Coturnix japonica: one gene and its partners. The protein of the gene in region 2 interacts with the protein of the main gene of each other region in a pairwise test. Links are inferred from orthologs where the notes say so. Each region holds a gene or a part of one and is shown on either strand. Other genes may lie near its edges.

Region 1 (3,755 bases), about 590 kb from region 2:
AGGAGAGTGGTCCAGGGGCTGGGGATTAATTTATTAATGGACCTGCTCAATGCAAATAGGAAAATAAATAAATAAAAAAAGAATTACTCTCTCCCTATTAATAGTCACCATAGAGCTGGCAAGCTCTCAATGTAAATTAAAGGAGACCCTGCAGCAGATGATTTGTTCATGTGCTTAAATTAAACTGGAGGTCAGCAATTTCAAAACCTTTTCCTTGTTACCTTTGCTTTCCCCCCTCTGCTTTGCATTCCTGCACTGAAGGAGCAAAGTGCAGTTATACCATCTTTGTGAAGAGAATTCTGGGTAACTGGGGGGAAGGGTGATGCTATGCTCACGTTCTGTGATGATAAAAGGGAGTGATTTTTAAGCGCAAGAAAAGAGAGGATGAGGAAAAGAAATGTGAGTAAAGCACGATCTTTGTCTTTTTTCCACCCCCTCTCCCCCAGTAACTCCCGCCTGGAAAGACCCAAGATCTAGGTGAAAGAACGAAGCGTCCACAGGGCAAACGGCGTTCCTGCAGTGCTGCATTGCCCTGGCAAGGAGGAGCCACGGAGTTGTTTCAGGTGAAGGAAGACTTTGGGCCACATTCAGGTGAAGCGTCAGCTTTTCCTTTTCATCCCCAATGTGCCTGAGCTGCTGGCAAGCACAATTGTGTTTCAGAGGGAGAGGAAAAAGCAGAGCTGCTGGAGAAATAACTTATTCAGGTCATGTCCATGCCAAGGAGTGCATTTGAATGGAGTCCCATGGGTATGAGCTGCCGAGCTCCATGCTTGACTTGGCAGGAGGAGTGGCAGAGGCAGGGCTGTGCTCAGCAAGGAGCAATTGACACATTGGTATCAGCATGCGGTATGCCTGAGGCAGAGGTGAAGATCCATGCAGGGCAGGGTTAAAATCTGAGCTCTTTGCAGCCAAGACAACATCAGAGCTGGGAAATAGCTGGTGGTCTCTGGAATGGTTTGTGACTGTAGAACCATACAGGGAGGAGGGGGGTGGGGTTGGGGGGAGGGGAGAAGGGGAACATTTGCTGAATCAGTGACTCTTCTGAGTCAGAAGAAAAATTGTTCCTGCCCCCCTGCCAGCACTTCGTGCAGATCCAAGATACCGTTCCCAGAAGAGTCCCTACATATGTTAGCAAGAAGACAACTGCCTGCACATTTTGCAGCAAGAACAGTGTAGCAACTGATGCAGCGCTGTGCTGTGAGCCTGGGGTAATGTATCTCCTGGAGGGAAAGCTGCGGAGAGCAGTGCTGATGGGCTTAGTCTGCTGACTGCCAGAGATCAGAGACCTTCTTTCTGACTCCAGGGACGCTTGCCTGCTAGATTTGCAACTCAAAGCAAGCAAATGATTAGCTGTAGTTTCAGGGTAATGTATTACAGCATCCCCTTGTGTGGGGACAGCAGGCTGGAAAAACTACAGTTCCCAGCACCCTTTTGTGCACATCCCTGCAAACTACAGTTCCCAGAACCTTTTCATGAGCCGGGGAGGGAGGGTGTACGTGGAAGTAATTGCTGAGGAATTTTGCATCGCTCCCCATACTTTCAAAGTGCTGCCCAGCCCTCGGTTAGTGAAAACCGAAACGGAGGAAAAGCCAAGGAGCGTTGAGACAGTGGTTTTACCCACCCCTAATAACTGCAGCACTAAGCATCCTTCTCGCCCTGGAGTCTCCCTGGGCAGACGCAGGGAGGATTCTTGCCCCTAAGGGAAACACGGCTGCTGCGGAAGGAGAGCAGACTAACTACAGATCCCAGCATTCCCTGGCAGGCAGCACCTGCGGCAGTCCCTGCGTGCCAGGGGGGATGAGGATGTGGATGGAGGGCGGGGAAGAGATGAAGGGCGCAATGGGGCTACGCTGCGGCTGGGACCCACCCCCCATTGATGCCCAGGCCAAGTGGGTGAGGCTCAATGTGGGGGGCACCGTCTTCCTTACCACCAGGCAGACCCTGTGCCGGGAGCAGAAATCTTTCCTGTGTCGCTTGTGCCAGGGCGAGGAGCTGCAATCGGATCGGGTAAGGCAGCTGTATTGCCTCCTGCACCATGCCCTTCTGAGCACGGGGAGGGCTGCAGGGCTGGAGTCAGATCCCAACAGCTGTAGGAATAACCCAGAGAAAAATACCTTCATTTTCTCCCCTTATCCTAGCGAGAAACTTCTCTTGCCAGATACTTCCTGGCTGTGTTGTAGCCCAGTCCCCTGCACCCCTGCTGCTCCATCACCGTGTATACCCTGAGGGTACTCCCCAGATGTAGCAGCCTGACTCAACCCTTTTTTCACTTCGAGGGATTTCAGCTTCCTCACACCAGGCCTGTACTTATAGTTGCAGGAGCCTGAGGTCATGCTGAGATGGACATTCTGAGCATAATAATGCAGGAGTTAATATCTGAGTGAAACTGTCTTGGCTATAGTCTATTATAGAGATGTTGCAGGTAGGTGCAGGTCAAGATACCCCGTGCTTTTCATCTCATGGTCTACCTCTTGTTGATAGGATGAGACTGGTGCATATCTAATAGACCGGGACCCTACTTACTTTGGGCCCATCCTGAATTTCCTCCGCCATGGGAAGCTGGTCCTGGATAAAGATATGGCTGAAGAGGGTGAGTCTTGGAGCTCAGAAACTTACCACTTAACCATTGCTGGAGCAGCACAGTAGGGTTTGTAGTTGACCTCCTTGTCTTTTGTTATCCTTCTGAAGATTGGTGTGGGAGATTTGAGAAGGCCATCCTTGCAGCTCTTGGAAAGCATGTTTCCTTCTCTAAGTGGGAATGGAGCAGGTGGAGAAGGGATCCTGCATATATTGAGTCCTTATGGCTGTTAGTTGAGCAAAGGTGTCACGGAGATGGAAGCAGACTAGGTCTCTCATCCATGAAAAACTGTTTTATTACCTGTTCCTGATACACTTTTAACCAGGCTTTGTGACTGAGGTTTGTACTAATGACTGAGTGTTTCTAATTAGGAGTGAAAACCCAGAAGACCAAACAGACCAACTGACTGTAATAAACCCCATAATTAATCAGTGACACGTAATGTATGCTAATAGTGCTCTGATGGGTTGTGGACTGCAGCAATTCCAGTGGAGCAAGCCAAACAAACCAATCCCTCATTTGATGTTGACAGGGAGTCCAATAGGATAACTCAGTAACATCATCATGGTGTTACGAGCCAGCGATCCCCAGTGCCTCATTATTTTTTGGATGTTAGGGACTAACAAGCAGCCAATTTCAAAGACAGGCTGTGCTGTCCAGCCCTTGCCAAGCACAGTTTCTGCAGGTTCATTAGCCTTCTTGCCTCCCTTACATATTTTTACCAAGGAGTGTTTTATTCAGAATCATTTTATGACTTATAATGCAAAAAATATATATCTAAGAAATAGTACAGAATTGTAATAAACACCATTCAGAGATGTTTCTTACTTATCATTGGTTGTCACCCTCGTGTCAGACAGAGTTCAGCCGAGGCTTTTAACACCAGATCTGAAACGTAAACAGGAGTTCTTGTTCTGTTCACAGCTTTCTTTTGCTCCTGCCACAGGACAGGCTGGCATGAAACCAACCTGTTAGAGGGTATGGCTGAATGGCTGAATGAGGGACTTATTCTGAGTTCTCAGGTAGAGAAGGATCAAACCCATACCAGCATTGTCTGCACGCTGATCTGGGTACCCATGAATGTCGGTTCCTGGCCTCCTTCCCCTCACTAACCCACTGAGAACTCACCTCCCTTTCCCTGATGGCTTGTTAGCAAGCAGTAGTATCTCAGGAGGGG
Region 2 (3,655 bases):
TTGGACTAACTTTACTTTTTAACACAAGCATTTGTGTATTTTTCTTATACTGCGCCATCGTTACAGCCCATTACCTCATTATCCTCCTCAGAACTCTTTAAAACCCTGACAGTGAATTGTCAATAAGAAAGTGAACAAGAATTACAGTGCTGACATGATGAGTGCAGTAACTGTCCCACTGTGTCTGTGTCAACCCTGACTGTATCCATCTACAGTCATTTACCTTAAATTTGAAATTACTTCAGGCAAACCAAACTTCTTATTTTGCTTTTCTAACACTGAACAGTCTGACCCATGAATCAGTCCCCTAGGTAAATATATAACAACAGTAATCCAAAGAAAAAGCTAAGATTCATGTGACAGTAACATTGATGATGAGAACAATTCATATTTGAAGAAAAAACTCTCCACTTACTTCTCCAGCTATTAACAGTTTGTTCACCCCACACTCTACTCCCTTAAACAACATTCTAAAAACAATTCAGCACCAATTGCCACAGCGTAACTTCAAGGGAACCAAAAAGGCAGGTATAATTACAAAGAACAGCAGGAACAGGGAGTGATCTCCCACATGGTTTTCATATGAGTTAGCATCTAGTTGGCTTTTCAAGAAGTACTGGGTGCTAAATATTTTGAATATCTCGACACTTTATTTAGGAATCCAGTGAGAAGGAGATATTTTGAAAACCTGTCTTATCACCAAAGGCAAAATTTGTCTTCACAGGGACTGATTTAGAATTTCCTGCGAGGAGAAACTTACATGGACAGCACTGTGCAGAAAAGTCATTGGTAATACTTACAATCCCATGCTTTTGTAGCAGGTCAATGTCCTGGAAAAAGGATTCCTAAAACAACAAATATATAAAAATATATATATATAAATCAAAAATAGGTTTTTATTTTTCTTAAAATTACATCTATCTCACTATGTGTTTCAAATGTGTAAACATTGAAATGGTTTTCCCTAATACCACTTGTCTTGTTGAACTACCAAAATAAGAAAACCCAGAGTAAGCCAAGAAGGCCTACACATTTCCTACCACTTTCTTCATCGAATATATCTTCACAGGCAAGTAATTCTCTGCTGTGTTAATAAACTTGTGCTAGGATCACATCTTGACTCTTTCATTCGCTGTTCTTCAGCCTTTTCTGGCTGATGACCATTCCTTGGAAGCTTAAAATGAACTGATAATCCTCTGGCATTTAATATTGAAGTAAAATATATAAAGCAATAATGATAATTCCATTAGAAACTGTATATAGCTTAGGAAAGGTTAATGAAGAGCATGTGAAGAACACAACTGTACAGGGACTCTGACTCAGAGATTTTCCTGCTATTAGACTGTAACAAAATATTAAATGAATTGAACTTCCTGGTGGTCTCTGGGGACCTCCTGTCTCTCTGTGGGCTTCAGTACACTGTAACAATACCTTCAGACATCTGCTGCACCTGTTTTTCAAAGAGCCATACATTTACCTCATCATCCTGGTATCCAGATTCTTCTTGGACTACTTGATCCTCCATGGCCTTCATTGTGAAAGAGCAGGCAATAAAGGATCGATCAGTACTGAGAAATGCAAGCAAAGACAGTATTGGGACCATAATAAATGTGCAAATAACAGGAAAATAGCTTTTAAAATGTCCTCAAACTGCACACCATTTAACTATGTCATCACATATGGATTTAAACTCTGATTCCGTATCCCACTCTTTCTCCAAAAGGAAAAAACCTACAGTGTTATTCTCCAGTGAACTAATTTGCCTAGAAAAGGTTTAACTGGTGTTAAGAAAATAGAACTCAATCCCTTGTAAGAATCTTGGGTCCCAGTGTGAATTTGGAGGTGGAACATTTAAAATGATTTACCATTAGTAGAATGTATTTCCATAAGCAGTAGCATTGACAAATAAAAAGGACAGCATTGCCACTCTAAGTTACATGATTGCAGGAAAAAATGAACAGGACCTTACAAATATGATTTCATAACCTGCTGTACCAGTTTTATCATTTTGTAAATTGTTAGGTTGCTTCTGCCTTAACTGCCAGCTTGCCTTCATTGCTCTAGTTTTGTCAAGTGTCTCATCCACAAGATTGTATATGTTTGCTTACTCATCCTCCTTAATAAAGTCCGTGAAAAGAATATGATGTTTACTGTGAACCTACAAGATGAGCTACATTTGAAAGAGGATGAGATAAGTTAGAATAAATTTCTGCAAATAGCTTTTTTTCCCCCCCTAGCTTTCAAATAGATACATAAGGTCTGCATAATTTGTTGACAAGAATCACAGAATTACATATTCATAGAACCATCAGTTGGAGGGGATCCTAAGAGATCATCTGGTCCAACTCCCCTGCAATGCACAGGGACACCTACAAGTAGATCAGGGTGCTCAGAGCCTGGGTCAGGGGGGCTGGAACTTGATGATCCTTAGGGTCCCTCCCTACAAGCCATTCTATGATCCTGTGATTCTATTTTCTTTTGTTTCAAAACCCTGTCAATTACAGAATGAGAAATCATGCCTTCATACTTTATGTCAAGAGAAAAAATAATTTCAATAAAGTAATAAAATTAAAATAAAAATAATTGAAGAGATTTTTCAACCCACGGAGCTTCAAATACTGAAGGAAGAAAAACAAGTAACACAAAAGGTATTAGAGCCATATCTTAACCCTCTCCTCTGTTTAAAATACCCTCCTGAAACGCACCTAATCCTGCACTCTAAGCACAGTTCAGGCCCTGTTCTACCTCCTATTCCTCAACCTGAGGTGACTGGCACCTACCAGCAGAAAAATCAGGCAGCTGCAGACCTGTGCCTTCCTGTAGATGGGAGGAACAACAGAGGAGTTACACCACACACTAACTGAAGCTTTAGGGATGAACCAAATCCTCCTCCCGTTGCTGGTGTGGCAAAGGCTCAGAGCATTCCAGTCATCACAGCCTGCAATGAACCAGACATGAGGCTGAAGGTGTGAAAACATGGCAAGTCCATCAAGAAATAAGGACCTTTGTGGAGAAATACGTTTTTGGGTGCCCTGAGCTCTCAGCTAGTGCCTAGGAGCTATTTGTTGGGTACAGGAGCAAGGCCGGCCTGCCTTCTGCACTGAGCAGACGTGGGCTGTGTGACAGCCCTGAGCACACTGTGCAGGGTTTAATAAACGATTCGTGAGCTGACAGAAACATTGCAGCCCACTCGACTGGAGCCGAGGTTGAATCTCTAATACAAGCCATAAAACGCCCTTCCTGCTCCCCGACTCCGTGTATCCCCAGCACACCTCGGCCGAATTACCACAGCCACCGACCCACCGTCAGCCCCAGCGCCGCCCTCAGCGCCTCCTCCTGAGGCAGCGCCCGCCCTTCCCGCCCCGGGAATGGCGGCAATGGAGGCTGTGGTGATGCTCAGTGATGCTCAGTTCCTTACCCCCCCCCCGCGGCACAACACTGAGTGCATGCACTGCTAGCGATTGAAATATCGAACAGTTTATGTCCGTGCATGGATTCCTAGTGCCTAAGGCTCTGTCTGCAGAGAGGAACTGGCTGGCACAGCTTTTGAAAACGGAATTATTCCACTAGAGCTGTTCCAGAAGAGCACTTAGGCAGGCAGTCCTTTAGCCTAAAGATGAATCCCTTCACAAAGCATTCTTTTACTCCAGGCTGG
Region 3 (2,575 bases), on a different chromosome or scaffold from region 2:
CAGCTCTTCATTTTCATTTAGCAGTTTGTGAGCAAGGTTTCAGGTTTGGAATCAAGGAGTCATTTTGTCACATTAAAGCAAGTGAAAGATCAGTCCTCAGCAGGTGCTTTAGGCTGAGATCAGTTTACTGATTGGCTTTCACTGACTCAGAAGAGTTGAATAGGCAATAAGCTTCAGTAGTAAACTCACACTGAATGCAAGACAGAACTAAAGCCTGATTCAGGTGCAGTTGCTATATGGTTGCCTCTGGGGACAGCACTCAAGGAAGCTGCCTGATAGAGAGCTGTAGCAGTTTGACATCTGTGCTTAGCTGGAAAGGCAAGCATTCCATGTGGCTTGACTCTTAGCCCAGGCTTAAGCCTGAGACAGCAGAACTGTTAATTAAAGTGCTTTCCTGGAAGCTGGTTGTAGTTGGCAGCTGCACATATCACCTAAACTGATAACATGTCTTCCTAGGCCCAGCCTGATTCAAAAGTTCTGCTGTAGTAAGAAGCATCTACACCAGCATGATGACACCTTTCCATCTTAAGGCCTGTTTTGATGTACAGTTTAGAATACAAAGCATTCTGTATTCTAAATTGATCCTAACTTATTTTGAAATGAAATCTAACAGACAGTAAAATGGAAAATTTATTAGTGCAAGTTGGTCACTCAGTCTCCTCCAGCATGTACAAAGGAGCGTCCCATGGGTAATACATTATAAACAAACCTGTACTAAGTCAAACTTGTCTTGAAGTAACAATGTGTTACATATTTTCATCATCTGATTCATCCTCCTCTTTCAAAGATTCCTATTAAAAAAAAAAAAGAGTTTTGTTTTACTATTTTCTCTACATACACAAAGGCCGCTATTGAGCAGGCCTTGTTTCTACTGAAGAACTAAACTACTTAAGAACTTAAAACCTGGCACCACTACTGCTTTCAAAGCAAATGCTGGGGGAGCAGCTTTATCCAGCTGGTTAACTAAAATACCTGCTTTAAAGGTAACGCGACTTACTGCATTTCCCATCCACTTATGTAATGACTGAGGCATTAATAAAAGAAATGAGAGGTAGGGAAGCTTGATGCCATGCTTTTTAAATGTAAGAACTGTCTGTGGATTGCATGGAGGGAACTTCCCAATTCTCTCATCAGGAGACATCCTGGCTACAAGTGATTAATGTACCCATCCCTTTTCCAGTCATTATAGTGCTACAATCCTGCTCCTTACTTCATTCATTCTATTCCAGACTTGCCAAGAGCAACACTGAGATGACAGCAGTGATGTCAGACCTTACCTTGGCATATTTTTCTGCTTCTTCTCTTATGTCTTTGGGAACAATTTCATGTTTTCCATTGGTTACTGCAAACAAAAAAGAAGTACCTATTAGAATTCACACAGCACGGTGCGATAAGTAAAACACTGCTTCTGCATGTTCAATACAGAAAATGAGAAGCTTTCTCTACTGTTGACAGAAAGGTAGAAATGCATTACTTTCTCCAACCCAGCTGAGTTCCAACTCAAAAGCTTTATCCTTTACTTCATCATGAACGATGTAGATTCTGGAAAGAAAGGGAGAGGGTGGAGGTTAGAACAGATTTATTGACAGGCAAATTATAATTTCTTCCTTTCACACATCTCTTACTCTGTTGAAACACCATTTCCTACATGTAATAGAAGCTTCCCCTCCTGCTTTCTCTTCAACCTCTCCTTTGTGCTCATCCCATTTCAAGAGGAAAAGAGTCTATCAGGGCATATTGTGGAGTAAAGCATTACTAAAACAGTGTGTTGCATGATTACAGATAAGATGCAAGGTACCCACGTAGGTGAGATGCTGAGTAACCCAATACAGAACATCACCTTTACAATAAATGTTATTTAAGATTCCAGTACTGTAGAACCAAGGCTATGACATCATTGCCTGCTTCTGCTCAATCAGTCACAGTGTGGCAGGAGCTCCCTGCATTTCCCCTGTAAATCTTGTTTCATCTTATACTTGAAACTAAATCTAAACACAACTGCTAATACACAACCTGTACGTAGAGCTCTCCATCCCATCTGCTAAGCCTACAACAACTTACAGCCTTGTGCTTTGTTTGTGCAGTTTCAGAGTCGTTTTGAGGTCCTTGTTATGTTTCAGGAGCAGAGAGCCCACACATTCTTTCCTTTAGCAGCTAACATGATAGCCTCTGACACAGCCACATAAATAAACTCACATGCTGCAACACCATTGATGGAAACATTTATTACTTCTTTATAACCTCTAAGGAACAGCCATAAAAGGCTGGAAATTATTTCTGTAGCTGCATATTATTAGATTTGTGACAAGTGCAGAAGTATCCCTGTAAGCATTAAGTACTGGAAACAGCCGAAAGGATACTTGTATTTATTTGAAGAGACCATAGACTGGCTTGGGTTGGAAGGGACCTCAAGGACCTTGAAGCTCCAACCCCCACCACATGCAGGGCCACCAACCTCCACATTGATACCAGCCCAGGCTGCCCAGGGCCCCATCCAGCCTGGCCTTGAACACCTCCAGGGATGGACGGGGCATCCACAGCGTCTCTGGGCAGCTGTTCCAGCACCTCACCACTC

Evidence for each region.
Region 1: the proteins of DMC1 (region 2) and KCTD17 interact in binary tests that used the Homo sapiens proteins (3 or more experiments, as listed by UniProt). The two-hybrid records come from large-scale screens. The link is inferred for Coturnix japonica from reciprocal best matches to the Homo sapiens genes DMC1 and KCTD17.
Region 3: the proteins of DMC1 (region 2) and PSMA3 interact in binary tests that used the Homo sapiens proteins (3 or more experiments, as listed by UniProt). The two-hybrid records come from large-scale screens. The link is inferred for Coturnix japonica from reciprocal best matches to the Homo sapiens genes DMC1 and PSMA3.

The regions. Positions count from the first base shown.
Region 1 is NC_029516.1:47,002,580-47,006,334, reverse strand, and holds the start of KCTD17 (BTB/POZ domain-containing protein KCTD17), read left to right. Parts: upstream 1-1,015; 5' UTR 1,016-1,797; coding exon 1,798-2,007; intron 2,008-2,481; coding exon 2,482-2,590; intron 2,591-3,755. UniProt on the Homo sapiens protein: Substrate-adapter for CUL3-RING ubiquitin ligase complexes which mediates the ubiquitination and subsequent proteasomal degradation of TCHP, a protein involved in ciliogenesis down-regulation.
Region 2 is NC_029516.1:46,410,506-46,414,160, reverse strand, and holds part of DMC1 (meiotic recombination protein DMC1/LIM15 homolog), read right to left. Parts: intron 3,406-3,655; exon of another isoform or gene 3,273-3,405; intron 2,939-3,272; exon of another isoform or gene 2,706-2,938; intron 1,569-2,705; 5' UTR 1,535-1,568; coding exon 1,478-1,534; intron 846-1,477; coding exon 801-845; intron 1-800. UniProt on the Homo sapiens protein: Participates in meiotic recombination, specifically in homologous strand assimilation, which is required for the resolution of meiotic double-strand breaks.
Region 3 is NC_029520.1:50,256,436-50,259,010, forward strand, and holds the end of PSMA3 (proteasome subunit alpha type-3), read right to left. Parts: intron 1,543-2,575; coding exon 1,475-1,542; intron 1,343-1,474; coding exon 1,278-1,342; intron 792-1,277; coding exon 747-791; 3' UTR 613-746; downstream 1-612. UniProt on the Homo sapiens protein: Component of the 20S core proteasome complex involved in the proteolytic degradation of most intracellular proteins. This complex plays numerous essential roles within the cell by associating with different regulatory particles.